Linked DNA regions of Tamandua tetradactyla. The protein of the gene in region 2 interacts with the protein of the main gene of each other region in a pairwise test. Links are inferred from orthologs where the notes say so. Each region holds a gene or a part of one and is shown on either strand. Other genes may lie near its edges. The genes, in order: DNAJB11, BAG6, SERPINI2 and ATXN2.

Region 1 (7,685 bases), on a different chromosome or scaffold from region 2:
GCAGATTCAATCATTTCCTTCTTTTCTTTACTTTTTGTATTTTATATATATTTTTATTCTTGCACATATCACACCAAATAGCATATTTTTACACATTAGCCTCCTCTGTGAAGAAAGAGATGCTTAATCATCTTTGAATCCCAGTATATAACAAATGTTCATTTAAAAAATGTGCACCCCAATACTACCTAACTGTAATATAATTATGTTAGAACACTGAATGAAGCTGAATGTGAGATTAATAGAGGGAGGAGGGCTGGGGGCACAAATGAAATCAGAAAGAAAGATAGACAATAAAGACCAAGATGGTGTAATCTAGGAATGCCTACAGTATATAATGATAGTGACTAAATATACACATTTAAAAATGTTTTTGCATGAGGAAAAACAAAGGAATGTCATTACTGCAGGGTGTTGAAAATAGATGGTAATTAATATTTTAAAATTTTAACTTATGTGTGAGACTAAAGCAAAAAAATGTTTATTTGGTACAAAATTTATATTTTGACTAGTGCATTTCCTAATATAACTTATGTGAACAGCTTAATTGAACACCATAAGTACAGGGAGCCTTGAGTAGGGCATAAGATTTTCTAGGTTTGTCCAGAGTGATACCCCAATAAATCCCAGAGTGATCTGAACAGTGAGTAAAAAAGTATTTGCAAAGTCCCCTTGGGAGAATGGTGAGAAAGGAGGAAAATTCAACTTCCCCAAGTAGAGAATTCTTGATATTCTCACAAGCAGTGGGGACAACCAAAGCAATAGGCTGAGTCCTCAATTTTGGGGTTTGTTCATATGAAACTTAACCCCACAAAAGACAGACTAAGCCTACTTAAAATTAGGACTAAGAGTCACCCCCAAGAGAACCCCTGTTTTTGCTCAGATGTGGCCTCTCTCTCCAGCCAACACAACAAGCAAACTCACCGCCCTCACCCCATCTACACAGGACATGACTCGCAGGGGTGTGGACCTTCCTGGCAACGTGGGACAGAAATCCTAGAATGAGCTGGGACTCAGCATCAAGGGATTGAGAAAACCTTCTCGACCAAAAGGGGGAAGAATGAAATGAGACAAAATAAAGTGTCAATGGCTGGGAGATTCCAAAGAGTCAAGAGGTTGTCCCGGAGCTTATTCTTACGCATTACATAGATATCACCTTGTTAGTCAAGATGTAATGGAGGGGCTGGAGGGAACTGCCTGAAGATGTAGAGCTGTGTTCCAGTAGTTATGTTTCCTGAAGATGATTGTATAATGATATAGCTTTCACAATGTGACTGTGTGATTGTGAAAACCTTGTGTCTGATGCTTTTATCCACCTTATCAACAAATGAGTAAAACATACAGCATAAAAATAAATAATAGGGGGAACAAATGTTAAAATAAATTGAGTAGAATGAAATGCTAGTGATCAATGAAAGGGGGGGTAAGGGGTATGGTATGTATGAATTTTTTCTGTTGTCTTTTTATTTCTTTTTCTGAATTGATGCAAATGTTTTAAGAAATGATTATGATGATGAATATGCAACTAGGAGATGATACTGTGCATTACTGATTATACATGTAGAACGGAATGATCATATGTTAAGAATGTTTGTGTTTGTTGTTATATTTTTTAAAAATTTTTTAATTAATTAAAAAAAAAGAAATGTGAAAAAAAATGTGCACCCTGACTAACATATCAGTGGTTCATAAGCAGTCACACACACCAAAATATTTTTTAAATCAATGGAACTATTCTCCTCTTTCAGTTATAGGATTCACATAACATTATTGCTTTAGGATAAAATAAGGATGGGTGAGTAAGAAACAATTCATTAAATATATTAAATACTGACAAACCAGAACTGCCAAAACTCAAATAGACCTTTGGGATCACAATGGTCATTAGCCTAAAATAAACTATCCAGCTGGTACAAAGATCACAGATAAAGAAAGAAATTATTCATTTCCCTAACAATTTCACACACACAAAAATCCATACCTGATTTCTTTGCTTTTCGACTTCATCCTCAGATATGCAATTGGACATAACCTCAGACCATTCCAGACGCTCTTCGGGTGTCCTTTCCACAAGACTATCAAATACTTCAAAGTAAAGCCATGCCAGATCCTTAGCCAACTGCAGTTTCCCACACGCAATGTGCCTCCATGTAGACCAGTAGAGCCGTGGGAAAGCACTGCATGTGGCCCGGGTTCGCACATAGCTGGATATCTTCCTGAGATAGTGAAGGCTGAACTTGGATGGAGGAGGCACCTGTAAGGCGCCCACCATAAATGGTTCTGCTTTCACCCAAAGGAGAACTCCAGACTGATCCATGCTATCTCTAAGGACAATTGTGTAAAAAGTCTTCTTTGCATACCTAGGAAACAAAGTTTCTTCACAAACTGATCTGAAACAACAAAACTCATTTATAAATGTCTTAGAAGGTGACACCTCCCTTAACTGTTTTTAAATGTACTACACCAGTTTGAAAAGTAGCACTATTTCATCAACCAGAAGTAGAATAAAGTTTTTATTGGATTTCATTAAAATCTACTTGGGCAAGAAGATTTTTGCAATACAACAAAATTGTCTTGCTTGTATTGTTACTTTCATTGGCGATTAAAGGAAGAGTATGCAAAAGTGTATTCCTTGCTATTACTCAACCAGTCACCTAATTTTAGACATTTAACAGGTATAAAAATTTTTCACAAAAACAAGATAGACAAAATATTGATCACTTTTGACGCTGGGTGATGGGTATACTCTACTTTTGTGTATACTAAAAATGTCCTTAATAAGTTTAAGTGTTTTCAAAATTATAAATAATGCTGTTTACCATCTTTCTGCATAGCTGCTTCTGCATTATAAATGATTTCCCAAGGAAAATTATCAGATGTGTATCTGACAGATGAAGTAATACTGACATTTTTGAAGCTCCTGACATATATTTCTATTGCTTTCCAAAATTTTACCAAATTGTACCATCACTTGACCACAGTACTCTCTTCATTGAATACTCCTCACCATTAAGTAACATCATCTTTAAAAAAAAAAGCCTTTCCTTATAACTATGCATCTTTTGGAAATTGTTCAAAAAAATAATTGATTGTCCATGCAAAAACTTACGTACAAATGTTTATAGCAGCATTATTCACAATCACCAAAAGATGGAAACAACCCAAAAGCCCATCAACTGATGAATAGATAAACAAAATGTGGTATATCCATACAACAGTATATTATTCAGCCATAAAAAGTAATGAAGTAGTGATGAATGTTACAAGATGAACCTTAAATATACATTATGCTAAATAAAACAAGCCATTCACCAAAAAACACATATTGTATGAAATGTCCAGAACAGGGAAACCTATGTAACAGTAAGTAGGTTGGTGGTTGCTTAGGCCTGGGGGGGAATTTTCTCATAATGGAAAACATGATGTGAAAACTAAAGACGAAGAGGTTTCTTTTAATGTAATGAAAACGTTCTAAAATTCACTGTGCCAATGGTTGCACAAATCTGTGAATATACTTAAAACCCTTGAATTGTGCCCTTTAAATTGACGAACTGTAGATGAATTATATCTCAATAAAGCTGTTTTTAAAAACTGACACTAATCCAGTGCTTACTATATGCCAGGCAGCATGCTAAACATTTTGCGTACTTCATGTTTTCATCCTCACAACACCTCCATCTCATTTACAGATGAGGGAAATGAGGTTTAGAGAAGTTAAAAGACTTGACCAAAACTGCATAATTAGTTCGCACGGCCCTAGATTACAATTAAATGTTTCTCTGACTTGAGAATCGTGTTGTTACAGATGTACTTTGGGAATTCAATTTGGATGAACCTTTAATAAACGGGACGCCGACTATAATAAAGAGCCTTAGACATGAGACCAAATAAGGGCCAGGTGAAGGAGTTTGGGATTCTGAGCCAAAAAGGCGCGTGGAGAGTAAACAAGTCTTCCCTAAATGGGCAAGGCTTAATATCGTTCTGAATACAACTAGAGGATGGTTACAGGAGGAAAATCTTAGTTCTTCCCAAAACGTAAATAGGCTGCTCTGAAGTGTGCAATCAAAAGCCAAATCCTACGGATGTATACTCTCTAAGGTCTCTTCTAATTCTGCAACTCCGGAGGTCTAAACTCGCAGTCAAAAGCCATATCCTAAGGACGTCCTTTCCAAGGTCTCCAAATTCCGGAAGTCGAAATTCACAAACAAACATATCCTGGGGCCTTTACCTCTCCTAAAACTCCTCAGGGAGACGCTGGCGTTAAGGTTTCTCCGGCGGGGAGGCCGGCGTGTGGACAACGGCCGGGCCGCCGCCTAGAACACAGCCGGGAAAAGGCGGCGGGGACGTGCCAGAGCCCTGATACGGGAAGCCCGAGCTATGGAAACAGAGACGCCCCAGCTGACAGGGTCCGAAGCGCACCCTGGCTTCGCGTCTGGGAAGCGCGAATACACCCTTCTCAATCCCAGCCTAAAACTTGACCCATTCATCCCTCTCCCAGCCCACCAGCCACCGACCGCCGCGCGCTGTTACCTGCGAGCGCAAAGCCCCTACACCCGGGTTCCCAGCGCGCCTCGACACCCAATGCGCATGCGCGGGGGCTTGTATCACCGAGAAGCAGCAGGCGGCGTTGCTAGAGCGCCGCCTCTTCAGTGACGGAGACCAATTGGGAGGCCTGGAGTCCTCGATGAGGAGCCAGACCCGGCTGCTCTCTAGTGGCGCGTCTTTCCACCCAGAGAATAAGTTTTCTAATGCTCTACAGAACCGTGGGTCTGTCAGTAGCGGCTGGTAAGGTCAGCACGCTTTGATAAGTAATAATGATTATGGCAGTTTAGATTTATAGAGCGCTTATTATGGGCTGGGCACTGTGTAAAGCACTTATACGTGCATTTTTTTTCAGTCTTCCCAAGAGTCCATCAAATTAAAAACATTTGTTATACTGATGAAGAAACTGGGATTGTAGAGAGATTTAAGTAACACACCCCTAAGGGCACACAATTAGAGAAGAGCCAACATTTAAACCCAGGCAGTCGGAGATGAAAGCCCCTTGCGTTATCTCCTTAACTCTGTTAGTTTTCCTGCCGTGTTACCGTCTTCGTGAAGATTTTTTTTTATTCCACCCAGCAGAAGATATCACCTCTTATTTATGATTTGTGGCCTTTTCCTGCTTTTCTTTGTTCCTTTATGGCCTCTCTTGGTGTGGGGGATACAAAGGGATATAAGACAAAAAGTGTAGTTTACTTCCTCATTTACGTGGCTTCTCTCCCTAAGAGACATCTTCCTAAAAGTAGTAAACCATGTCTTCCTCTTAGTCCCACATATGTGTAGATGCAAAAAACAGGGACTTCGATTCAGACAGACCTGGTTGAGGATTCAGGCTGCACCATTTACTAGCTCATTGACCTTTGGCAAATTTTGTCACTTATCTATGTCTTAGTTTTCTGCCAACAGCAATAATTATTCATCGAGCACCACTGTGTGCCTGACACAATGCAAGGCACAAGGGTTACAGCAATGAACAAAACAGAGAGGATCCCTGCTTTCTTGGAGTGTATATTTTCCATTTTTTTTTGGCACAGGCAGGCTCTGGGGATCGAACCCGCGTCTCCGGTACAGCAGGTGAGAATTCTGCCACTGAGCCACCAGTGCACATCCTTCTTGAAGTGTGTATTTTAATAGGAAGAATACACAATACATATTGAGGAAATAGAATAATTTCAAATGTAAAAAGTGCTATGAAAACTGGGAGGCGGGAGACTAAGAAGGCCATTTAATAGGGCCGACATTTGAGCTAAAGCCTAAAGAAGCAGCCATATGGAGGTCACAATCAAAGCAACTAGTCATCCATTTACCAAAAAAATAGTTGTGTGCCTATTCTGTTCTAAGATACTAGGGGTATAAGAGTGAATATAACAGACCAGATTCATGATCCTGTGGAACTGACATATAAGTGTGGGGATGTGAGGGTCAGGGATGGAAACAAAATAGGGTGTTGTGAGAATAAGGGATTTGGTATGTGCTAATTTTGATTGGATGGACAGGGAAGTCCTCTCTGAAGTGACATTTAAACTGATATAAGAAAGGAGTTATCCATGTTAGGATCTGAGGGAAGAGTGTCTCAGGTAGAGGGAACAGCTAGTACAAGGACCCTAAGGCAGGAATGAGCTTGGTGTGTTCAAAAAAGAGAAAAGAAGCTAGTTTTGTTGGCAGTATCCTAGGTGAGAGTACAGGTCATGTAAGGTTTCATAAGGTAGGGTAGGAAGAGTTGGAATTTTGTTCTACGTGTAATGAAAAGCCATTTGGAGCTTTTAAGCAGAGAAGCCACATAATCTTAATTATTTATTTATTATTTATTTTTGTCGTTGGGGAGTGGGGAGCGCAGAGGCTGAAAATGGATGGTAGGATATTAACAGTAAAGGCAGGGACGTCAGTTAGGAGTCCCTGTCAGGGAGAGATGATATTGACTTAGCCCAGAGAGGTAGTGGATATGTAGAGCAGTGCACCAGAGATTCAGGACACAGTTAAGAGGTAAAGAATTGGACAAGTGATGCAGGAAAAGAATCAAGAAAGGCACCAAGAATTTTGTCCTCAACAACGAGGTGGTGCGTTTACTGAAATGATCAAAAGTAGGTGAAGATTGGGACGAATCAAATAGTTCCATTCATAACTGCAATAAGTTATTATTCATTGCGTGCTTACTATACGCCTGATGCTGTGCTAGACAATTTACAGATTTCCTAACATTAAAAACTCACAACACTTCCAGTAGTGTTTTGCCCCAATTTTGTTCATCAAGTACCTTAGGCTCGTCTTACGGTTAAGAAGTGGTGGAAGCCGAATCCGAACCTAAGTCTATCTACCTACATCAAAGATGCTCACCTTAGGCACCATGGCTTTTTCTCTGTAAAATTTTCTCAGGAGATTGTTTGGATTATTTAAAATAAAATCTCTTAAGCAGTGGAACCGATGTACATTGAGCCTGGAATAACTGTCCCGCCCATTTTGCCGTCATCCTTGCGTACTGGCGTCCGGAAGGACGCTCAAAATGAATGAAATTCCGAGACATGTGACCTAGAAAAAGCCTTCCTCCTGCAATTGGTCGGTGCTGGAGGAAGCGCCCCGTGATTGGTGGAGAGTCCAAGGGGCCGGGCGGGAGGACCTTCTTGTGCCTCCGGTGTCCTCCTGTGGCACCCACCTCCCCCCTCTCTTTACGTAGTTTTCTGCGACAGGCGGGGCTGCACGGCTTCCTGCGGCGGCGCGACACTCTGACGTCTTCTTTTCTAATTGGCCGAGAGCTGGGGCTGCTTAACTGGAGGTCGCGCCGCCTCGGAGGTGAAGTGTACTGCTCTGATTGGCTCCGCGGCGCCGGCCGCGTGTGATGTCCCTAGCAGCGATTGGCTCTCGTCCGCTGGGGGCTTCTTTCACTGGGATTTGGGACTCCCGGGAAGTCGACCAGCGAAGGAGTGGGCAAGCTAGCTGTGGCTGCGGACCGAGGAGGAGACCCCCGGCGTGAGGTGGCCTCACAGGGCCGTGCGGACTGGCTAGCGGAAGTGGCCACGGGGGAGACGGCGAGGAGTGCGTGAGACCCGGGCCGGGACGGAAGAACTATGGCCCCGCAGAACCTGGGCACCTTCTGCCTGTTGCTGCTGTACCTCATCGGGGCCGTGATCGCTGGGTGAGGGACAGGC
Region 2 (7,286 bases):
CTCAGGTGACATTACATGAGCCCTCCTTCATCCAGCATCCCCAGACTTACTCAGTCCTAGTCTTCTGCAGTAGGAATTTAACCCCTCACCTTGATTCTTGGGAGTCAGTAAGAAGGCCTTGGAGTCCAGGCAGGAGGTCAGGAACTGGAATTCCTCCACACACTTCTCAGGAGGATGTGGTGAGCGATCTGGAAGGGCAGGGCCAGGACAGTCAAAGGCCCTGCTTCTCAGCATCACCCTGGTGAGTACCTCATGGGCACGTCACCCCTTCCTGGGGTGATGTTAAGGGATTCAGAGTAAGGGCTCTCTTGCCTTCCTGTTTCCCTCTGACCTTTCCTGCCTTGCATCCCCACTCACTGTAGAAGAGGAAACGCTGGTAACCCTGGCCCATCTCTTTCAACATGATTCCTCCTGGGCACGAGCTGGAGAAGAGCTTCGTTTTCATGTCAGGGCGGCCTGTCAGGGTGAGTGGGGGGGCAGGGGATGAGGACAGAGATGCATAAGCAAGGCCAGAGGACATGGAGAGGGTGAGGGCTGAAGGAACCAACCTTCAGTTCTAAGATCGGTGCTCCCGTCAGTCAGGTAATAGATCCACTTCCGGGGCACACAGAGCCCGTTTTTCCTACAGAGGTGGTGGTGGCATGAAGGACAGACTTAGAGACACTCCAACCACATAGTCCCAGCCTCCCTTTACTCCTCCTTGAAGGAAACTTGGATCCCTGTGGATTTCAAGCTACCAAAGAATGGTTAGATCTAGCTTTCTCTTTCCAAAGGGAAATAAGTACTACTGAGCCAAGAATAGTGGAGGTACCAGCCAAGAGCCCAGCTCTTGGTGGATGAGTGCTTACTCTTTGGGCAGAGACCACACCCACTGACACCTCTACCTCCTCGTCACTCACGTGCGGATAGTAGCACGAAGCTGGAGGTGTCTTGGGGCAGAGTCAGTAGTCATATTGAAGACAATGTTGTCCACAGGGTCAAAAGTCGCCAATTCCTCCCTGGTGGGAGCTGCCCCTGCGATAAAGTACCACCGACCTAGGTGGGGCTCTGGAAACTGAAGAGACAATTTGAAAAGCAAATTGTCAGTCAGGATAGGCATTGGCTGCTTTCCTCTTTGCAAATGGGGGTCAGATCCATGACAGCAAGTCATCAATGACTTGGGTAGCCACCATCCCACCCCACCCCCACTCCAATTCTGCCATGTCTCCACAGTTATGGCTTCAGAACTAAAATCTTTCTCCCTGCTTTTGTCATCACAACACTCACAGCATCTTCTTCCCCTCCTTTCCCCATGTGGCTTCTGGTCATCCTAAGCCACCCACCCAAATTCCCCAGGGCCTCCACCATAGGCTTCACGTGTTCTCTTCCATACCTCTTTCCCATCCACTCCCAGAGTTGTCAGTTGACTGTGCTCAGGGCAGTAGTACATGGAATCAAGGAGAATGCCATAGAGGTAGAGCAGAGCTGCCCAAATTCGGTGGAACATCTTCAGGCAAGAGGGAGCTGGTGCCCTGTGTGGGGTGGCTGGTCCCTGTACTGCTCTCTCCCCTGCTGGCTGCTCAGTCCACTCTGTTTCCAGCCCCCTTGCCTTGATCCTTGACCCTTTCACCTGCTAATGAGTAACTTCAACCTTGTTTTCCAACCCAAACCAGGATTAGTGTTCGGACCTTCCTCCCATCTCTATATGCAGCCATTCTAGAGTACACCCTAATATGTCTGGGGTTTCTCAGGAGTTATGAGAACTGAACCCAAGTAAAAGCCCTTTGGTCTGTCAACCCATAGCTGAGCTGTATCTGCTGTGTTGTGCAGCATTGGAGAGTCTTTCATTCATTCACTTAGCAAACTCTTTTGAGTCCCAGCTGTTTGTTAGAAACTGGCTAAGCTCCAGGGACTTCAAGATAAGGCACAATCCTGGGCCTCAAGAAATCTGCCTTGGGAAAACTGACTATATAAACAAATCATTACAATACAACCTAAGTGCTGTAGAACAGGTATGATCCAGACAGTGAAACATACTGGGTGATAGGCTTTCTTTCTATAGGAGCTTGTTTATAATTGAGGAAACAGTGCACATACATTCTGGAAAAGTTTGCTGGCATGTAAGTGAATGCATTTGTTCAATGTTTATTGCCAAGTAAGAGGCTGTATCATCTAGTGTTAAGATCTTTGGTATAAGGCAAATCTGGGTTCAAACCCAACTCTGCTTATTAGGTGTTGGGCAGTTTTATTAATCTCTATGCTTGTTTCTTTATCTGTATAATGGGTAAATCGTCCATCTCATAGGATTAAATGAAATAATGCACATAAAGCCCTTAGTAGAAGGCTGCACATAAATTCAAAGTAAAAATTCATTGTAATTAATGTTTGCACTTATTAGTTTCTGATGGGTACTAAGTTCTTAATAGGAGGTAAGAAGAACTGTGTAGAAGCAGTAATTGGATAATCCCAAGGGAACAGAACAGTTAATGCAGTGAAAGGGGGCTTTCTTAATAGATTATTCATAATTCATGACTGTCCCCCCAAATTTGTCCTGAGAGGTGAAACTTACTATAAGCTTGCAAAATTTAGTTTAAAAACAAAACAAAAAATAATCTGGATGATTGATGTATATAAGGGTTCATACTACTACTACTACTACTTTAGGGTGTGTATGAAATATTTTATAACAAAAAATAAAAATACATTAATTTATTGGGGCAGCAAAGTAGAAGTACTTGACCCAGAGTCTGGCAAGCCTAGATTTGATCATCAGTTCTTTCTGCCAATTAATGTTCGTCTAAGTGAACTCACCTATAAACCCGACTATCTCAGATGAAAAAAGCTTAACTATGACAACAGTACGTAAAACCCTTAGTATGCTGGCTGGCATAAAATAAATGCTCACTAAACAGATGTTTATTAAAGTCTTAACTGAAACAGTACTGGAACGTGGGTATATAAAAACTTCAAATCCTGGGAAGGTTGGTCAGCGCAGGTTGGCACCCGGACAAAGACAGGCCTGGCTGGAGGGGTCGCAACGGCGTAGGGGCAAAGACCTTGTTCGGTGGGGAGTGTACAGGGACGATAATCCCAGCCCTGTCCCGGGCCTGCCGAAGTCCCTTGACAGCCTCAATTTAGGGCCAGAGTCTCGTTTTTAGGGCCAGTCTGACTTCACTTGCTCCCAATTCCCAAATTCGGAGGCATTCCTTTTCTTGACACATCCTGAAAGAACCCACAGCTTTTGAAAAACATGGCATGTCCCCTCGGTCGTGCACTGCCAGAACATGGCGCTGGCACCCCACGAACGCCCGCCGGTCAGCGTCGAAGTCTCTCCAAACGACGCAACCGGACGCAGGGGGACAGGCGGCCCACAAGCTGCCCCCAACCGCCCGCAGAAAGGGTGACTTTCGAAGATGCAGAAAGAAGAAAGAGCGCGACTAGGGCGACAGTGAGAGGAAAGCAAAGTTTTAGGTGGCTAGAGCAGTGCCGCCTCAAATTCTCCGCCTGTCAGAACTTTGACATAGATTAATGAGGCATAATCCTGAGTCCCCAAACTACAAGATTCATACAACTGTTCAAAGTATCTCTTGAGGCAGTCATGGACTCCCGTCTGGTAATTTATTTTCAGGCATTTATAGTGGCCACCTGAACTTTATAGCGCTCACGCGCGCACAGGAAACACGAACCGCGCTACCGGGGGTGGGGAGGCGCTTCAAGTGTGTACGCACGCGTATGTAACGCACGCAGGCGCAGTACGGTCCCCCAGGCGACGGCGGCGGCGGCTCCTCGGGGTGGTCGGCTCCCTCCCATCTAGGCCGGCCCCGGTCCGTCTCGCCCCCAGGAATTCACTGTTTGGGGCTCTGGAATTTCTCGTCGAGCCCCACAAAAGGAAAGCTTGGGGGTCTTGCGGAGCCAGAAGTGCCGCCTCGCGAGCCCCTAATACTGTCGGGGAAACGGAAGTGGCCGTCGGTGGCAGGTTGGGGGAGACCGGAAGTGACGGTACCGTGGGGGAAGTAGGGGGCGGGGTTGCGAGGTGGTGTGCGTGCGTCTGTGTGTGTCTGTGTGTGTGTGTACGTACACACGTGCGTGTGGTTGGTTGTGTGTTGGTTGCGCCGCTCTGTTGGAGCACCAAAGGCAGGCGGAAGAGGGCAAACAGCTAGCCGTTCCGTCCCTCTTGAATGTCCGCGGTCTTCGGTCCGTCGTGACTTACGCGGGTTCGATGGGCGTGGCGCGCGTGCGCGAAGCCACTCTTTCCGCAGCGTCTGGACCGAACCCTGCTCGCGTTATCCCAGGGTTTGCCGACCTCTGGGGCCCTTTTTCTATTGCGACCGGTGATGACACTTCTGGTCTCGTGCCTCCTTCCTTCCCTGCTTCCTAACCTGACTGGCCCTCTTTTATGGTGATTGGCATCGTGGAGCTCCTCCCACCCCCGTCTTATAGTTCCCTAGGCCGTCGCTCTCTTGCCCTTTGTGTTTCTCTCCTTGTGTCCCACAATTAGAAGGGGGATGGGGGAGCTTATGAGTGCATGTACTTTTGTCGGAGAAACTTTTTAGGTATTGGGACGGGGGCTCAGGCCAGGGAGGCTTTCGGGAATATAAAATCTGGTCCGGGCGACAGCGGGCCTCCTTCCCTCTCTTCCCCCCATTCTTCCCTAGATAGCTGTCGGCCATGGAGCGCAGTGATAGTACCAGTGCCGCTATGGAGGAACCTGACAGCCTGGAGGTGTTGGTGAAGACCCTAGACTCTCAGACTCGGACCTTTATTGTGGGGGCCCAGGTGAGATCCTAACACTTGTGGAAGACATTGATTACTTCTTCATTTTGTAGGCTCTTAGCCTGAGGGAAGAGTCTGATTTTCTTGTCCTCAGGTTTTTTTTGTTGTTGATTTCTTTGTTCATATTCTGGAACAGAACGTTTTTTATTGTTTTTTGATGTTTCTGTTCCTGAGACAGATTTTGTTTTGTCTTTCTCTTCATCTGTAGATCTCAGTACAGAGGGAAATAGAAAGGAAGGAGGACTCTGTAGGCCATTGCAGCTGGCCCTCAGTGCAAAGGGGAAACAAAACATGCAGACCCAAAGCACAAGTGTGTTTTGAAAAAAAAAACTGTCAGGCCTAAACTCTATTTTTAAGACTGGAAATTAGAGCCCATTATGTGGATAGTGCTTTAATAAGCAGTTGAGTAGGAATTATGACTGTTTGTGGCATAATTTAATCTCAAGTTTAATGCTATGGACACAGCTGTACTTTACTCTTGTAATATTTGGAGACAAAAATCTTGAATGAGTTGGTGTGTTTTTTTTTAAACCTGATATTACATGCAGTGTTTAAGAAAGCCATTTAGACTTTCTGATGCAATGTGTGTAAACACCCTGGTACTTCCCAAGTTGTTTAGGAAAAGTGTTTTCCTTTTTACTCCATTTCTAACCTCCTCTTTGGTTGAGTTTTCCCCTCTTAACCTGATCCCCCCTACCCCCATCTTCCTTGTCATTGGTTTTATCTTTGAGATTATGAAATAGTCTGTGGTTAATCATTTTTGTTTGCGGAGGGGTTACTGGTATCTCTAGACACACATTCCCTTGGGAGCCAGAGAAGTGGAAGGAATGCAAGTTGGCTTTTCTATTTCTCAGCCATGTAATTCTCATCTGGGCTTATAACCTGAGTTTAACTGACTTTATTGTCTGTTTTGGCAGGTATGTTTTCAGCTTAGGGTTTCACAATCGAAATAAATGGGTAGTGATTTTTATGATGGTTTTTACCTCTCACTCTAAGGCAGCTGTTTCTCTTGTGTTCTTCCTACATTCCCTGATTCCTATCCTTGTCTCTTCTCCTTGCAGATGAATGTAAAAGAGTTTAAGGAGCACATTGCTGCCTCTGTCAGCATCCCCTCTGAGAAACAACGGCTCATTTACCAGGGTCGAGTTTTGCAGGATGATAAAAAGCTCCAAGAATACAGTAAGAGTATGGGAGGGGCCAGTCAGAGGTTAAAGCTGCTGTGTGGCGGGATGGGCTGAGTCTGTGGGTTTACCTAATCATACGATGTCTTGGTGTGATTTTTCTTTCCTGTAGATGTTGGGGGAAAGGTTATCCACTTGGTGGAACGGGCTCCTCCTCAGACTCAGCTCCCTTCTTCTGGAGCATCTTCTGGAACAGGGTCTCCTTCAGCCACCCATGGTGGGGGTCCCCCACCTGGTACTCGAGTTCCTGGGGCCTCTGTTCATGACCGGAACGCCAACAGCTATGTCATGGTTGGAACCTTCAATCTTCCTGTAAGCTTGTGTTCCACATGGGAGGTTTTTTTTGTAGGGAACGGTAGATGCGGTTGTGGTAGCAGCAGGGCACTCCTGAGACAGGTGTCTCAGGTTTTAGTGTGAATTTGGAAAGCCCTGTGGTCTGACATTGGGTTTGATCTTTGAGAGACAAAAAAGGATGGAACTCCAGAGAATGATTTGGAGGTATGCGGGCCTTAGTCTTTGGCTTCTCCCAGAGCAACTTCCCTTACCCTTTCCTCAGAGTGACGGCTCTGCTGTGGATGTTCACATCAACATGGAACAGGCCCCAATTCAGGTATCACAGGGCCTGGGAGGGTCAGGGAAGGGGATCTGGGAGAAGGAGGCCTTGAGGTGGGGTTGGGTCTGGCTGAGGAGATAGCTGGGTCCTGCTATAGTAGGTGCTGGAACACATGGGTACATCTCAAACCTGCCCTGATCATCTCTCCTCTCTTCATAGAGCGAGCCCCGGGTCCGGCTAGTGATGGCTCAGCACATGATAAGAGATATACAGACCTTACTCTCCCGCATGGAGGTGAGTGGGTAAGGCCAACCAGCCCCAGGACTGGGGTCATGAGTGGTCACATCCACAGGATTCTTCTCTGCAATCTTCATTCTTTGGGGTAGAAAAAATATCCTTGTGAGACTATCTCATCCCTCCCAGTCCTCTTGGTGCCTGTATTTAAGAAGTTTGTTTCAGACTTGTCAGATAACTCTCATGGCATCTCCTTTCAATTAAAAATTTTAAAGGATTCAGTTGTTTTTTGTTTAATTTCTTAGTTAACATATTTAGCATTGAGATATCCTAACCTCATTAGTTTGTGTTGTAGGCTGCAACCTGTTGTCTTCTCTGTCTGCTCGTAAAGGTTAGGAAACCACAGTCTCTACTTTTTGTCAGTAATTTATTTGTAGATGTTACAGGTATTTATTATGTACCTAATTTATTTAAGTCTCATACTATGTATTGTACTAGTTCCTAGGAAGTCAAAGATACAAACACAAAGCTCTGCCTTCCTGAAGGTAGAGCACATTCTCCACTCA
Region 3 (7,280 bases), about 23 Mb from region 2:
TGGTGGAAGAAAGGTTTCCAGAAGCGGCTGCCTATTCCATCTACATTCAAATCCAAATTGAGTCTGGCATAGTGATTTTTATGCATAGTGATTTTCCTCCTTATTGAATGAGAGTCACATGTGGAAAAGAGGCAGACACACACAGATACAATCACACAACCATATATAGAGAAAAGAAATGTGGTACATGTTAACAAATGGGGAAAAAATGGGAGGGGAATGGTAATTCTTTGCACTGTACTTGCAAATTTTTGGTAAATTTGAAAGTATTTCAAAGTAAATTATTTTTTAAAAACAAGCATTGCTTTGGGACAAAGGATTTAAGCAGCGACTGGATAACTCAGTGAGATTGCATAGAATTCCTGCACTGGGAAAGAAATTTGATTGGACAGACCATCATTTCAAATTCAGAGCCTGTGATTTCTAAATCATATAAATCTGAGCTATATTCCAAGAAATTTAAAGGAATATTAAGTTGTCAAAGAGATGTAAGAGGGGCACCAAATGCTTTGTGAAGAGTCTTTTTTCCATCCATGTGTCCATCCGTCCATCCTGCACATGCAAGGGACCATGTTAGATAAGAGAGATACGAATATGAGTAGGATATACTCTCCTGCCTTCAGCCTTCTAGATTGAAGGCACATAGACTGCACTTTATTAAACAAAGATTGAATTGCCCCATTAGATTTTATAATTTGGAAATCTTTCACTGGACACATTTTACTTTTTACCCCTGAAGATAACTTCATTTGAAGTGATTATTCTGAAACTGGTTTATAGACAGAGCTTCTCTTTATAACCTTAGAGAAGTAATGGATAAAGGGCAATGTGTGGGTGGAACTTATTCATTTATATGAAAAGCACCTGTCAAGTACCTACTATGTGTGCAAGGTACTATGCTGTGTATAACTCTAACTTCATGTCTTAATGTCGACCTCTTTTGTGAAAGGTATACAGGTGTATTTAATGGGAATAGAACTCTTAAAGATATGAAAAATTTTTAAATGTTACTGCTTCTAATAGTTTGGAACAAAATCACATTAAAAGGGAAAAATTAAAAGAAATTTAGCTCTTATGTATTCTTCTTCTTTTGTTACTTACAATATCTAATTGTTTTAGGCAGGTAGCAGGATCTCACCCATGAACTGTTAATAGAACGAAAGCCATCATAAGCTGTTTCTGAAGTTAACATTTAGATTCAGTTATTTAGGATCCATTTTTCCACAGTGAAAGGAACTTGTCACATTAAAATAGTGTGTGCCATAATTTTCAATAGGCTATCTTTTTTGCAATATGTAGATTTACATGAAATATAATTTAGTTTGTTCTCTTTCAGAACATTTTCATCTAATCACTTACAATGTATAGAGTAAGCTGACAGAGAAAAATTGCCTGAAATTCACCATGCTCAAATAGAAGAAATAGCTTCTAAGTCTTTTATTAATTAGAGTATTTGCTTATATGTCTTTAAAGTTTGGAATTAAATACATTTTTTCTTAAAAATAAAACTACAAAATGCTAAGAAAGGTGATGAAACTCTAACTGTAATATCTTACTATTATGTTTGTACATATTCCCTGGTTTCTTTTTAACATTGGAATAGTAATGGTGCTCAAGAAATTTATATCAGGACATTTTGGCTCCCACTAATGAGTAATTTTTTTACTGATGCTCTAGGGGCATAGAGTTGTAGGAGGAGCAGAGTTGTGAAAACACATAAAATGTGTGCAGTAATATTTTATGGTTTTTTCATATCTTTATTGTCTATTAAAATAGAGGAAGAATTCTGGTCGTTGCTTTTTATTCCCCAAGAGAAATGACAATGGACATTCAGCTGAACTGCTCAAACATACAGTTCTTACAGAATAACCTCATTAAATGTTTTAATAAGACAGTGAATGTTTCTGTCATTGGTTGGAAAAGTAATGGCCTTTTTTAGGTCTATCATAGTATGATCTGAGTAATGTACAGTCATAATACTATGATGGCTGTGTCCAGTGTCACTTCTTGGGCATAACGGTATTGACTCATGATCATCTTGGATAGTCCAACTTATTATTCATGTGTTGAAGAGTAGAGCTGGAATGATGACGGTGTTCTTGTGTTTCACAACTCTTTTTGGAATATAGTCTCTTGTGGTATTAAGTTAAAGCTAGAATAGAGTTTTTCCAGTGCTACAGTAGCTGTAACAGAATAGACCAAGATTTAGGAAAGATTTTGAGATGCCCAGATGGGTAATCAGAATTTTTTCTTTTTATGTTTCATGGAATGTTTAACAGGACAATGTGAGCTCTGTGCATCAATCTAAATCTGTCATAACAGCAGCCCGATTTTATGACACTTTCAATAAACTTCAAATATACTCCAAGCAACCAAACATAAAGTTTTTAGTTTTATGAACCCTCTGGTGAAATATCTATACAATCATGGATCAAGTCAGTGAAGAATCTGTACTCCTGTTTGCCAGCACCAACATTGGCCTTTGCAGTGCCCCTAACTTTCTTCACTCTTCTTGCATTCCTTCCACTGTTTTATTGAGATCTTTTTCTCCTCATAAGGCCGTATCTTGCAAGTCTGTGTTTGGGTTCATTTTTCTTTGCATAATCCAAGGAATCATAAATCATGCCAAAGCCAGTCATCTTGCCACCACCAAAAGAGGTTCTGGATCCAAATACAAAGATGATGTTTGATGTGGTCATGTATATTTTGACTGGTTTTTCCCAAACAGTCTTAGGTACTGTTGCCTTTCCAGGGTGAAGGACAGCGATGGCCATTTGTTTTTGCTGAAGTAGTGGCTTGATCATGAGCTTCCTGGTCTGCATAGATACCGTGTCATTCATGATGACTGGTGATCCCGGTAATTAGAATTTTAGTAAACTAAGAGATGATGGCTATAATAATCACCAGACTTCTCAGGCCTGTACTGAGAGAGGTTAACAGGATCCTTGAAAAAGTTTCTTCAATGAATACTCTTTAAAGCCATTTTATGCTTATGGTGGTTTGAAGCTGGATACACCCCAGAAAAACATGTTCTTCAAGCTAATCCATTTCTGTGGGTATGAACCCATTGTAAGTAGGACATTTTGATGAGGCTGCTTAAGTTCACCTCATTCAGGATGGGTCCTAATCCTACTATTGGAGACCTTTATAAATGGAATGAATTCAGGAAAAGAAGGAGAACAAAAACCACTGAAGGTAAAAATGGAGATAAATGAAACCTGGTATTTAAGAGAGAGACCAGCAAACACGCCATGTGCCTTGCCATGTGGCAGAGTTGCTGAGGATCCCCAGCAGCCAGTCTTTGGGAAAAAAACATTACCTTGATTTGGACATTTCCATGGCTTCAAAACTGTAAGCAAATAAATTCTGATTGTTTAAGCCAGCCCATTTAATGATATTTGCTTAGAGCAGCCTAGGAAACTAAAACGATGCTCGTTTTATTTTTTCCTCATGACTTTATTGGAAATAATATTATACTTGACAAGCAAGTGACAATCATACTTGCTTAATTACTAGACCAAATATTCTGCTTCTCTTCTCAGAGGCCATTGATAAATAATACAATGTGTTTTAATGCCTAATTATCATTGAAATGACTGATTTGAAATAGAAGAATGAAATCAAGACCCATTCAATTATGCATCCATTTTTTATTAATAACTTATTTGGAGAGAAAATCGTGTAGAATTTTAAAAGCATATAAAGGCAACACTGATGTTTATTATTAAATTACCTATGTTTAATAATTTTATACTGATATAATTAGTTAAATCAATAATCGTAATCTGGTCTCTTAATCTGGCTCAACATAAAGAACATATTTCATCAATATCCACTCTTCTTCCTAAGGATTCAACTGGGCCTTGTATCTGCAGGAAATTCCTCTGACTATTGCATAATTTGATGGATTGTTGAGAATTCTGTAAGCACAGCAGTAATTTGTCTCTGCATTCTGGACTTGATTTAGCCTTATTCTTTTTCTCATAGGCATTCTAAAATATTTATGATGGAGTATGTTGGTAATGTGATGTGAAAGTCTTGTGAGAAACAAACAAAAAAAACTAATTACCAGCAATATTACAAACATAGGCACATTCTTTCAAATTCTGCTTCTGTTTGTAAAAGAGGTGAAATAATGGATAGAATAATAGTATAAACTTGATGATTTAAAGGGATGCTATTATTGTTTTTCTCTTCCTGCGTATTTCAAAATTACTCATTAACTTGATCATGCTAGTCTTTGTATACAAATGTAGTGAACACCTGCTCTGGTCTTAGAGGAATTAATCAAGCAACATTCAAGATAATAGAGTTGGCCTTGACTGATCAGGTGCCAGTGTTCTCCAGCAAGCACATTTTAGTTGTAACATTACAGTGAATCATCAGAAGCCAATTTTGGGTAAGTACTTTAATTTAAATATCTTCTGAGTGAAGTATATATGCAATAACGTTGACTGTGGAGGTTTAATAGAGTAGAGGTTGCTATTATAAATTCGAAGGTCGGATTCTCATGGGGTTATTAATTGGATTGTTTAGTGTACCAGCATTTTGTGCTTTTTGCTGACATATGATCCAAAACCCAGTAGGATAAGTGAAATTTAAAATATATATATATACTTTTTTTTAAAGCTGTCCACATAAGTTATATTAGGAAATGCACTAGCCAAAATATAACTTTTGTACCAAATAAACATTTTTTGCTTTAGTCTCACACATAAGTTAAAGTTTTAAAATATTAATTTCCATCCATTTTCAACACCCTGCAGTATTGACATACTTTTGTTCTTCCTCATGCAAAACCATTTTGAAGTTTGTACATTTAGTCACTATCGTTATACACTCTAGGCATTCCTAGATTATACCATCTCAGTCTTTATTGTATATCTTTCCTTCTGATTTCATTTGTGCCCCCAGGCCCCCTCCCCTATCATTCTCACTTTCAGCTTCATTCAGTGTTCTAACATTATTGTGCTACAGTCAGGTAGTATTGTGCTATCCATTTCTGAATTTTTGTAAATCAGTCCCATTGTGTAATCTGTATCCCTTCAACTCCAATTACCAAATATCTACCTGATTTCTATCTCCTGATGACTTCTGGTCTTAACTGAAATTCTCCAGGTTCATTCATTAATGTTAGTTCATATCAGTGAGACCATACAGTATTTGTCCTTTTGTTTCTGGCTAATCTCACTCAGCATAATGTCCTTAAGGTCCATCCATGCTGTTACATACTTCGTAACTTTATTCTGTCTTACAGCTGCATAATATTCCATCATATGTATATACCACAGCTTGTTTAACCACTCGTCTGTTGATGGACATTTTGGCGGTTTCATCTACATATACTTTTTGAGTTGTAATTTATAAGTGCCTAGAATTTTTTGGCAGAAACGGATGCTTAAAGAATGTAAATTTTAATTAGTAAGATCGTTAATAGTAAGGGGAAGATAACTCTAATGCCCAGAGTCTACCTAAGGGTAAAATGATATCCTTCATAATATTGCTTATCATTCTAAAATAAACCATGTTCTTAAAGATACACCAAATGAATTGCTGCATCATGATTTAAAAGTTCTAATAACATTTTGGCTAATTATGTATCTACACACTTGGGTCAGAAATATCCTGAGAAATTCAGTATATCAGAACAGTGATGCAAAGAAATTTATTTCGCATGCACAACTTCTCTGACCCACTCACTGGCTTTAATTGTTGAGACAAAGCCAGTCACAGCCTCCTGTCCAATTAATTCCTCAATAAAACATTTGCTTGCTTATATATATATATTTGCAGTTTGTCAACACATGTTCCTCTAAAAATTGCTTGGAATTGGATTTTGAAATTTTCTTCCATTGCAAAATGTATATCTAAGCAAATAGAATTTGATTACATATATTAGAAAAATTTTGATGTATCTAGATAATGACACCACAGCTTAGTTTGGGAGACTACTAATATTTACTAAAAATGCATACTTTGTATGTAATTTAGTGCTTCTCAATGAACCTTAACCCATTCATGGATTATGACAGCTCTCCTAATAGTCTGCAAAATGATATAGAAATGCAGTTCTTTATTTCTTTAAGGCTAGCAACACAATATTATGGAGGATTTCACCCTACCTTCTAGTAACCTGCTAAATGAATTATTTAGGTCACTAAAACATATTATTTGTAAACTAAAATTAGTGTTATGAAATTTATGAGGCCTTTGCAGCCAGTATTCTATTAACAGGTTTGTGGTAATATTGTAAAACTTATTCTACTCTGGATATAATCCAGATAGTTGATTTTCCTGAAATTTTAATGGAGAACACTTTAATAGGATGTCATTAGTGTTGTTTTGAATTGGTTATGATTTTCAATTGCTGCTTTTCTTGTATTTGTTCATTTATTTTTCAATGTATTGTTCGATTTTTAATTGCATTGCTCTTTTGTTATTACTGTACCATTTATATTTGGCTGTCATTTTCTTTCCTTACAATTTTCTCAGAGTTTTGTGCATTTTTTCCTCCCTTTGGAAAAGTAGGATATGGGGAGAAGTGGGATTCCGGAAAGTGTGAGGATCACGGCTGCAAGAGGTTAGGCGAGTTATTCAAATGGTTTAGAATACATTAGCTTCCTAATATTGTAGATTTAAAACCAAAATGGAATATGTTCATTTTTATTTAATTTCTCTTCTTGAGCCTTAAACCATTTTAGAGTAGTCTGGATCAAAGTTTCCCTTGGTATCAGAATTAAAGGTATCCCATTTAAAACCATAGGAAAAGATAAGAGAAAGTATCATATAGCTATTCAGAGACTGTATGGCTATTGAAAACATTCTAGAAGTATAATTTATCCTTTGATTTTGCTTAAGAAACTTCAAATATATTTCAGACTTGTTCTTGAAAGAACATAAAAATTACCATTAGCATGACCTATTTCTCCTAAAAAATGATGCATTGTTAGAAACAGGCATAGTATAGATTTTTTTGGAAGTTAGTTCTAATAAAACAGAAAGTTCTAATAAGGTAGAAAAGTTTCTGTTGAACTTAATGTAGTAAACTCTGATTATTTAAAAATCCAATAAACTTTGAATTATACATTTTACAGAAGTCAAAATGGATAAAATCTTATTGTGGAGTCTCTTACTGATTTTTCCTGGAAGTCAAGCCTCAAGACCCTCGGCTCAAAGAAATGCTGAATTCGCAGTGGATCTTTATCAAGCTGTTTGTTTATCTCACGAAAACAACATTATATTTTCACCCCTTGGAATGACTTTAATTCTTGGAATGGTAC
Region 4 (7,756 bases), about 75 Mb from region 2:
CTTTGTTTTTTCCACACCTGTGGGAAAGCAGTTACTTTTCATACAAAGTGTATAAATAATGCCTCCAAGCAGCATCTCCCCCAACACCCATCTTTCCTTTCTTTTTTTTTTTTTTTTTAATATTGTTTTAGTGTTTTGGCATCCCTAGAGGGTCTACAAATAGATTTGCCTCTAAGAATTCTGAGTAACCACAGTCAGGAGAAAAAGCAATGGTTTAATTAGCCACGGTCCTATTTTTGAAATTACATCTGCTTTTTTTTTTTAAAACTGAGTATCTGTCTATGCAAGAATTTGAAGAGGATGGATTTTGGTGGGGGGGGATGCATGTTAGTTTTGATTTGAATTAACTTTCATGCTGTGGAAATCAAAATCAAGAGTATTGAGTGAATAATGTATCATCATACATTAAACAGGCTCAAATGAAGACAGCTGACAGAAATGATTACAGAAAAATGAATTGCTGGAAATATGGGGTCCTCTGCTGTGTGCTATTATATGAGAGATAACAAATCACTCCACACATTTCTGTGCTTTGCATGGTTCTATCAGTTTTTCATCCCCAAATTCCCAGACTTGATTAATCACTGAAGTAATGAAAATTAACAGGCTAATAAAGGATCATGTGGCTTGAGGAGTCACTGGAAATCAGAAAGCAAGGACAGAAACCACAGGACTAGATTCCCAAATCTGAAAGTCTTTCTCTGGATGTTTTCTGTCTTGAGACTTTTTGAATTTCTGAAATATTGGTTGAAATATTTTTGAAGCTTAAATTTTTCCAACACTTCTCAATCTTAGACTGTTTCAGGGCAATATTCTTCGTTGCCTTTGATGACAACTCTCCAAAGACACTTGTTGGTTTTGTTTTAATGACTATCAGAAAAATGTCTGTGGGAGATGAAGGACCATTCAAAATTTTAACTTTCACTGGATATATTATTAGTCCCTAATTTCAGCATCTGTCTTTAAAGAATTCCGAGTCTATGGAAATCATTGGACATGTACCTTTTTTTTGGTCATCTGTATTAGTTATCTATTGCTGTGTTAACAAATTGTCCCCAACTTTAGCAACTTAAAACAGATAGGTTAGGAATCTGGGGACAGCTTAAATGCGTAGCTCTAACTCAGGGTACCTAACCTGAGCTAGATACAATAAAAGTTTCAATAAAGTGTCTGCTAGGCTATATTCATATCAAGGCTTGATTGAGCTTCTATGCTCACTCATGCGGCCTATGACAGCCATTGGGTCCTCACTTGTTGGTTGGAGATGGCAGTTCCTTGTCATATGGACCTCTCTGTAGGGCAGTTAACAGAATAGCAGCTGGCTTTCTTCAGAGCAAGTGAGGGAGAGAGGGCAGCTTGTTTTAGTTTCCTGGCTGCTAAAACAAATATGCAACAATGGTTGGCTTCAGTTAGCTGGGCTTCAAAGGCTAGAGGCTTGCTTCCTCCCAGGTCGGTATCTTCTGGCTGGGGTTCCTTGGCTTTCCCATCACATGACAATGCACGTGGCGGGGTTATCGCCTTTCTCTTCCAGTTTCATTGACTTTCAGCTTCTGGCTGCTCCCCCTTCTCTATAAGACCTCCATGGATAGCATAAAGACCCATTCTAATTCATATGGCCACACCTTTATTAAAAATAGTATCTTCAAAATGTCCTATTTACAGTAGGTTCACATCCACAGGAATGGATAGGATTACGAATATGCTTTTTGGGGATACATAATTCCAAGCCACCCCAGAGCCCAAGGCAGAAGCCAGAGTCTTTCTGTACTATAATCTTGGAAGTGAAAACCCATTACTTTTTCTAACTGTTTGTTAGAATCAAGTCACTAGGCCCAGCCAATACTCAAGTGGAGGGGATATGTCAGAATCTGAATACCAGGAGGAAGGGATCACCGGGGCTGTTTTAGAGACTGCCTACTATACCCTGACATTTTCATATAAAGCTAAAGCCCTCTGACATCATGGTTGCTATAAAATAACCATGTTCTTGGAGGTCTGGAATTCAGGTGAAGGATTTGCAAGAAGGGATATTCCTTGGTTTTAGGTGAGGAGACTCCCTCAAGAAAGTGAAATGGGGAGGAAAAAAAAAGAGTTGACAAGAGAGGTTTTCTTGGTCTCCAATTTAATATAAAAGTAAAGATCAAATTTTAATGCTAAACCCTATACATTGCTGGTGCAAACATAAAATGGTGCAGCCCACCTGGAAAAGAGTTTGACAATACCTTAAAAACTTAAATATATTTCTTTGCTGTTAACAATTCTCAACTTCAAAAAAAAAAGTTAATTATAAATTTACCTTATGACTCAGCAATTTCACTCCTAGGTATCTACCCAAGAGAAATGAAACATATGTCTACACAAAGACCTGTACACAAATGTTCATAGCAGCATTATTCATAATAGGCAAAAGTTGAAAACAATCCAAGTGTCCACTAACTGGTGAATTAATGATGTACAAATCCCATTGGTCTACGCAGTGGAATACTACTTAGTAATAAAAAGGAGCTAAAAACTGATATATGCTACAACATGATAAACTTCAAAAACATTCTGCTAAGTGAAAGAAACAGACACAAACAACCACATACATTAAGATTCCATTTATATGAAATGTCTGGAACAGGCAAATCCATAGAGACAGAAAGTAGAGGAGTGGTTGCCAGAGGTGTGGGTGGAAACTGCTAGTAACTACAAATGGGCATGAGGGATCTTTCTGGGGTAGTGGAAATGCTCTGAAATTAGTGGGGATAGTTGTACAACTCTGTAAATTGACTAAAAATCATCGAATACTTCAAATGGATGACTCTTATGGTAGGAAAAAGTTCAATTATAGTGGATGAGAACTAGCCTACATTTCTCAGCCTACATGAAACCAAGTTCAGCTATGTCAGCTTTATGCCTTCTTACTCTACTTCCCTTTTTTCCCCCATATGCTTGGAGTTTGGTCCTAACACTACATTCTGGGACCTTGGTCCCAGATAAAGCTCTTAAGTCATTAAATCAGAGAAAGTCCATTGTATTTTGATTATAGTTATTTTATTTTTTCCTTCTTCATCTGGTTTTTTAGCCCTGTTTCTTCTGGGCTAATTTTTAAAGGATTTTTTAACTCTAAAGGAATACTACATTTTTTCTCAATCTTTTTACCTTAGATGGGAAATACACCTGATTGCTGATTGCCTGCTTTTCAAGTGTTTGCAATATACAATGATCAGTTTTGCCTAGGCTATGTAGGAGATTAATGTCAGTTCATTCTGGCTACTGGATACATCTGGCTTAATTATTCTTCAAGTTCTTCTAGGTCTTTACGTTTATCTGGACAATTCGAGATTGAAGGGAATTTTGATGTTGATTGCCCTATCATTTCCTTAAACTCACTAAAAAATACAACAAAACACTAGATGCTTCACTCAAAAAAAAAAAAAAGTAGTTATCTACTTGCTTCCAGTTTAATTGCAACACATTTTAAAAACGGACTACTGTGCTGGCTGGCTCTCTTAAGTTAAAGTAAAACTTCTAAAGGGGCCAAGGTCTAAAGTTCGCACATTCTTGTGAAGACTGTTCTGTCTCCGCCGACAGGAGACCCCATTTTTTCATAGCTGTACCAAATCACGTACATTTCCTCTTGAGCCTCATGAAGGAGGTAAAAGAAGTTCAAGTGAGGGGAAAATGGGTTCAAATGAAGGTCAGATACGCAAAAGAGTTTTCTTGGTTACTTTTTTGCTGTTGTAGAAAAAGTGGGGTAAAGGTAACCAGATTTGGGTAGCCTCGGCATGTTGCTCAATCTCAAGTCCATTCGTTAGTCTTGGCAGCGAAACAGAACAGGGCTCTTCTTTGAGACACTCAGTGACACCCGAGGGCCTACTGTGTGCCAGGCGCCGAGGATACAAAGATAACTGTTGAATGCTCGTGTTCATCGCGCCAGTGACTATTCTGCGTGCTTTATACGGAGCAAGACACTCTACCCTCGGAAGGCGCTCGCAGTTCATTTTATACGTTGCGTCAGGTGGGGTCAAACAGGCATTCTTCTCCAAGCTTGAGGACCGAAAAGGCACCTTGGGGGGCGAGGGAGAAAAAACGCTTCCTCCTAGTCCTTTACGCTAGGTTGATCCGGCCGGAGAAGACCGACACGCCCTCGCCAAAGGGCAACCCCGCCTAGAGGAGGGCGGATCCAGGCAGGGCCGGCAGCCGGGCCCTCACCGACCCCCGCGAACGCGGCCCAGACCGGCACCCGCTCCTCACGTGTCCCTCCCGGACTCGGAGCTCCCTCACTCCCTACTTCCGTCTGACCCTGCCGACTTCCGGTAAAGAGTCCCCATCCCGCATCGGCCGCTGGCACGGCCAGCAGCGCTTGGGTGTGTTCGTCTCCCGATGAGCTCGGCGGCCGCAGCTCCTCGGGGCCCTGCGGTGGTCCTTGAGCCTCGCCGATTCGCGGCTGCCAGATGGACCCGGCGGCGCTCGCTCCCGCGATGGGGCGGAAGGGGCGGTGGCGGCACGGCTCTAGGCCCGTATCCCTCCGCCGCCCCTCCCCCGCCCGGCCCCGGCCCCCCTCCCTCCGGGCAGCGCTCGCTTCCCTCCGCCTCAGACTGTTTTGGTAGCAACGGCAACGGCTGCGGCGTGTCCCGGCCCAGCTCCCGGCGGCTCCTGGGTCCCGGCCGGCTTCCCCGCCCCTTCGTCGTCGTCCTCCTCCCCCTCGCGGGCCTGGGTTCCCCCCCGGCCGTGCCAACCCGCGCCTCTCCGCTCGGCGCCCGCGCGTCCCCGCCGCGCTCCGGCGTCTCCTCGGCGCGCCCGGCTCCCTGCTGTACCCGCCTGGCGTGCGGGCCGGTGTATGGGCCGCTCACCATGTCGCTGAAGCCCCAGCAGCAACAGCAGCAGCAGCAGCAGCAGCAGCAACAGCAACAGCAACAGCAGCAGCAGCAGACCGCGGCAGCCAATGCCCGCAAGCCCGGCGGCGGCCTTCTCACGTCGCCCGCCGCCGCGCCACCGCCGTCCTCAGCCTCGTCGCCCTCGCTCTCGGCCGCGGCTTCCTCCTCCTCGGCGGCGGCGGGCACTGGCGGCGGGCGGCCGGGCCTGGGCAGGTGGGTGTCGGCGTCCCAGCCCCCTCCGCTTGGGGCCTGGACGAGGTCGGGCCTCGCGTCCCCTCCCCCGCGGTCCGCACCGCCATCCCCTCCCCGGGACCGGCCTGGCCTAGCGGGGTGGGCTAGGGGCCCGCAGCGGGGGCGGGAGCTCCGCTTTAGACCCTGCAGGCTCGGGTGGGGGGCGCCGTGGGGCCCCTCTGGATTGTCAGGCCGCGTCCATCCTCCTGCACCATCCTCACTCTCCTCCCTAAACGGTCAAGATGGAAGGACCGGGCAGCGTCCCCTTCCCATTGAAATGCTCACAGGTCCCAGCAATTGTCAGCCCCCGTTGCACCTTCTTTAAGCCCTCCCGGTCCCCAGTGGGGGTGAGGGGGATGCTGCGGGCAGCGTCCCCACTCCCGGTTTAAATGTGGTTGGAGTGGTCTTTAGATTTTGTTTCAGTCTCCCGAAACACGTCTCCTCCCCCATGGAGGAATATCGAGGCGGGGGGGGGGGGGATTGGACCGCGTCCCCTGCCTTCCTGTTAAAGGGGCAGCCACAGGACGCTTCTGGAATCGTTGGGGTCTGTCACGTCTCTTCACCTGTGCCCCCTTTCTACTCAGTGAATGATGGAAGGACGGGGGTGAGGTGGGTGGGCAGCAGCCCCCCGCCCCTTCCAGTTTTAAGCCTTAAGGCCGCGGCGGGGTGTCCAGAAGCCCTAGAATGGTCTTGCCCTGTGCAGCCTCCCGCAGCGGCCCGCTCTCCCCCACCTGGGGAAGGGTGGGAGTGCTTGGGCCCCTCCCGGCCTCCCCCTTCTTTCCCTCCTCCCGCATGGCCTCTCCCGCTCGGGTGGTGGCCGATCCGCATTGCCGTTCCGAGGCGGCGGCTAAAGCGCTTTTGCACACTGGTGGGTGAGGGTCGGGCCCAGGCGTGCGCCCGAAGCCCAGGCGGAACTGGGGAGGTGGGGGGTGGGCGGGGGGAGCCCGCTGAGCTTTCTTGATACCCCCTACCCTGATTTCCGAGGTGTTTTTTTTTTTTGCGTGTGTTTGGGGAGAGGGATTGCAGCGGGGGACAGGGTGGGATTCCTGAAGGCAGAAACGTGGGTGTTTCCTTGCGCCTCCCCTCTCCCGCTCCAACCCTCATAACCCAGGTTTGTGCTGAAGGCTGGGGGCTCTGTTATTTCCGCCAGCCGGGTCTAACTCTAGAGTGTGTGTGCCTGTGCGCCAAAGCCTCTTTGGGAGTCAGGGTCGTGTGTCAGTTCGTAATTCACTAACTGAGAAAATGCTTAGCGTTCAAACAGGGTGCAAGTGTCAGTAACACTCCGTTCCATTGTGGCCTGTGTCCTTAACTTGGGGAGTGTCGCCAGCGCTTACCAAGGGCACGCAAGTCCGTTTCCCCTGTGCCCTGAGTCCATCCGTGTTGAAGGCGCTGCCATGCCTCATTTAGGCCGGATTGGCAGGGCCAGTGACCAGCATTCTCCTTAAATAGATGTCGTGGTCTTTTGAAGGTGGAATAAGGGAATTTTTCATGCACTGAGTTTTCTTTGTGAAAACACATTTTCAGCAATCCAGTTACAAAGCATTTTCATTAACCAGCAAAAAAACTTACCCATCAAGATGAATCAGCTGGTTTTTAAGAAATTCTTCTCACTTCAAAGAGGTTGATGTAAAGACGCTTCTGGACTGCTACCCACTCCTACTCCCATAGTTTCCCCTTCTCTAAAGCACCCACAAACCTAGCCAACTAGTTCAAATGAAGGGATCATTTCCCCAGCTCTGTACACTTAGGATTTTGTAACTTTAGTTTCCTTTTTGCAGTGGCATTAATAAAGAAAAATGAAAATTATAAATATAATTTTTACAGAAAGAATTGTTTTCCTTTTAGGTGTCAGGTTGAAATCTGGCAGATATATTTCACTTGCTCAAATAATTAAAAAATTTAAACTAAGGCTTTGAAGAAGTTGCATTGGTTCTCTTTAGGTATAAAAATCACATTATGACAAATAATTTGTTCCGAGGTAGCTTGATTGATCAAAGATACTTGGAATGTTTTAGTACTGTAGGTCTTTTTTCTATTCCTTAGGGCTTCACAGAAATTTAAGGTTCATTTAGATTGTCTTGCTTTAAATTATTTCACCTGATGCGTAAATGGTAGATCTTACTCTTTTTGTTAAATATTTGAAGTTTTGTTTAATGTATTAGTCATATAATGTAAAATTTTGTTCTTGTATAGATTCATGTACTTGTAGAATTGCTTTCAATTTTGAATTACGTTTATTGGGCCCTTTGTAGATCAGTTACAGTTTCTAACCTCACTTATGCTTGAATGTATCAGCAGTAAAATAAGTTTCTGGATCAAGGGTGAAGAAAAAAAGCGCAGCATTGGGTTTGACATGTTCAGAGATAGCAAAATACTCTTGAAAATCTAGAAATAATACTTTTGCTTTAAATAGTATATAATATTTTATCATTTGAGTTTTTTGTGAAAATTGAATTTTCATGGCTTTCAAAATGATTTATTCTGTCTTTAATTGTCATATACATTTCAGAAGGTGGCATTTTGTCTTAGGAAATAACAGTATAACTACAGCTTAAATTTTGAACATAATTTTACCTTAATCCAATTTTTATTTTTGTCTTTTAGTGTTCAGTTCTTGTCAACATTTCTACAGTTATAGTGATTATATATATATTGTGTTCATC

The links.
Region 1: the proteins of BAG6 (region 2) and DNAJB11 interact in a two-hybrid assay, tested with the Homo sapiens proteins (2 studies listed by BioGRID and IntAct). The link is inferred for Tamandua tetradactyla from reciprocal best matches to the Homo sapiens genes BAG6 and DNAJB11.
Region 3: the proteins of BAG6 (region 2) and SERPINI2 interact in a two-hybrid assay, tested with the Homo sapiens proteins (2 studies listed by BioGRID and IntAct). The two-hybrid records come from large-scale screens. The link is inferred for Tamandua tetradactyla from reciprocal best matches to the Homo sapiens genes BAG6 and SERPINI2.
Region 4: the proteins of BAG6 (region 2) and ATXN2 interact in binary tests that used the Homo sapiens proteins (3 or more experiments, as listed by UniProt). The link is inferred for Tamandua tetradactyla from reciprocal best matches to the Homo sapiens genes BAG6 and ATXN2.

The regions. Positions count from the first base shown.
Region 1 is NC_135336.1:5,480,653-5,488,337, forward strand, and holds the start of DNAJB11 (dnaJ homolog subfamily B member 11), read left to right. Parts: upstream 1-4,679; 5' UTR 4,680-4,748; coding exon 4,749-4,785; intron 4,786-5,576; coding exon 5,577-5,616; intron 5,617-6,876; coding exon of another isoform or gene 6,877-6,888; exon of another isoform or gene 6,889-7,176; intron 7,177-7,282; exon of another isoform or gene 7,283-7,604; coding exon of another isoform or gene 7,605-7,672; intron 7,673-7,685. Other genes in the region: TBCCD1 (TBCC domain-containing protein 1), read right to left, coding at 1,982-2,317. UniProt on the Homo sapiens protein: As a co-chaperone for HSPA5 it is required for proper folding, trafficking or degradation of proteins.
Region 2 is NC_135331.1:87,239,967-87,247,252, reverse strand, and holds the start of BAG6 (large proline-rich protein BAG6), read left to right. Parts: upstream 1-4,266; 5' UTR 4,267-4,375; coding exon 4,376-4,378; intron 4,379-4,401; exon of another isoform or gene 4,402-4,532; intron 4,533-4,634; exon of another isoform or gene 4,635-4,638; coding exon 4,639-4,755; intron 4,756-5,813; coding exon 5,814-5,931; intron 5,932-6,045; coding exon 6,046-6,245; intron 6,246-6,489; coding exon 6,490-6,543; intron 6,544-6,705; coding exon 6,706-6,780; intron 6,781-7,286. Other genes in the region: APOM (apolipoprotein M), read right to left, coding at 28-188, 358-456, 549-622, 900-1,054, 1,373-1,486. UniProt on the Homo sapiens protein: ATP-independent molecular chaperone preventing the aggregation of misfolded and hydrophobic patches-containing proteins.
Region 3 is NC_135331.1:64,577,412-64,584,691, reverse strand, and holds the start of SERPINI2 (serpin I2), read left to right. Parts: upstream 1-4,264; 5' UTR 4,265-4,399; intron 4,400-7,094; 5' UTR 7,095-7,102; coding exon 7,103-7,280.
Region 4 is NC_135331.1:12,234,240-12,241,995, reverse strand, and holds the start of ATXN2 (ataxin-2), read left to right. Parts: upstream 1-4,756; 5' UTR 4,757-4,839; coding exon 4,840-5,075; intron 5,076-7,756. UniProt on the Homo sapiens protein: Involved in EGFR trafficking, acting as negative regulator of endocytic EGFR internalization at the plasma membrane.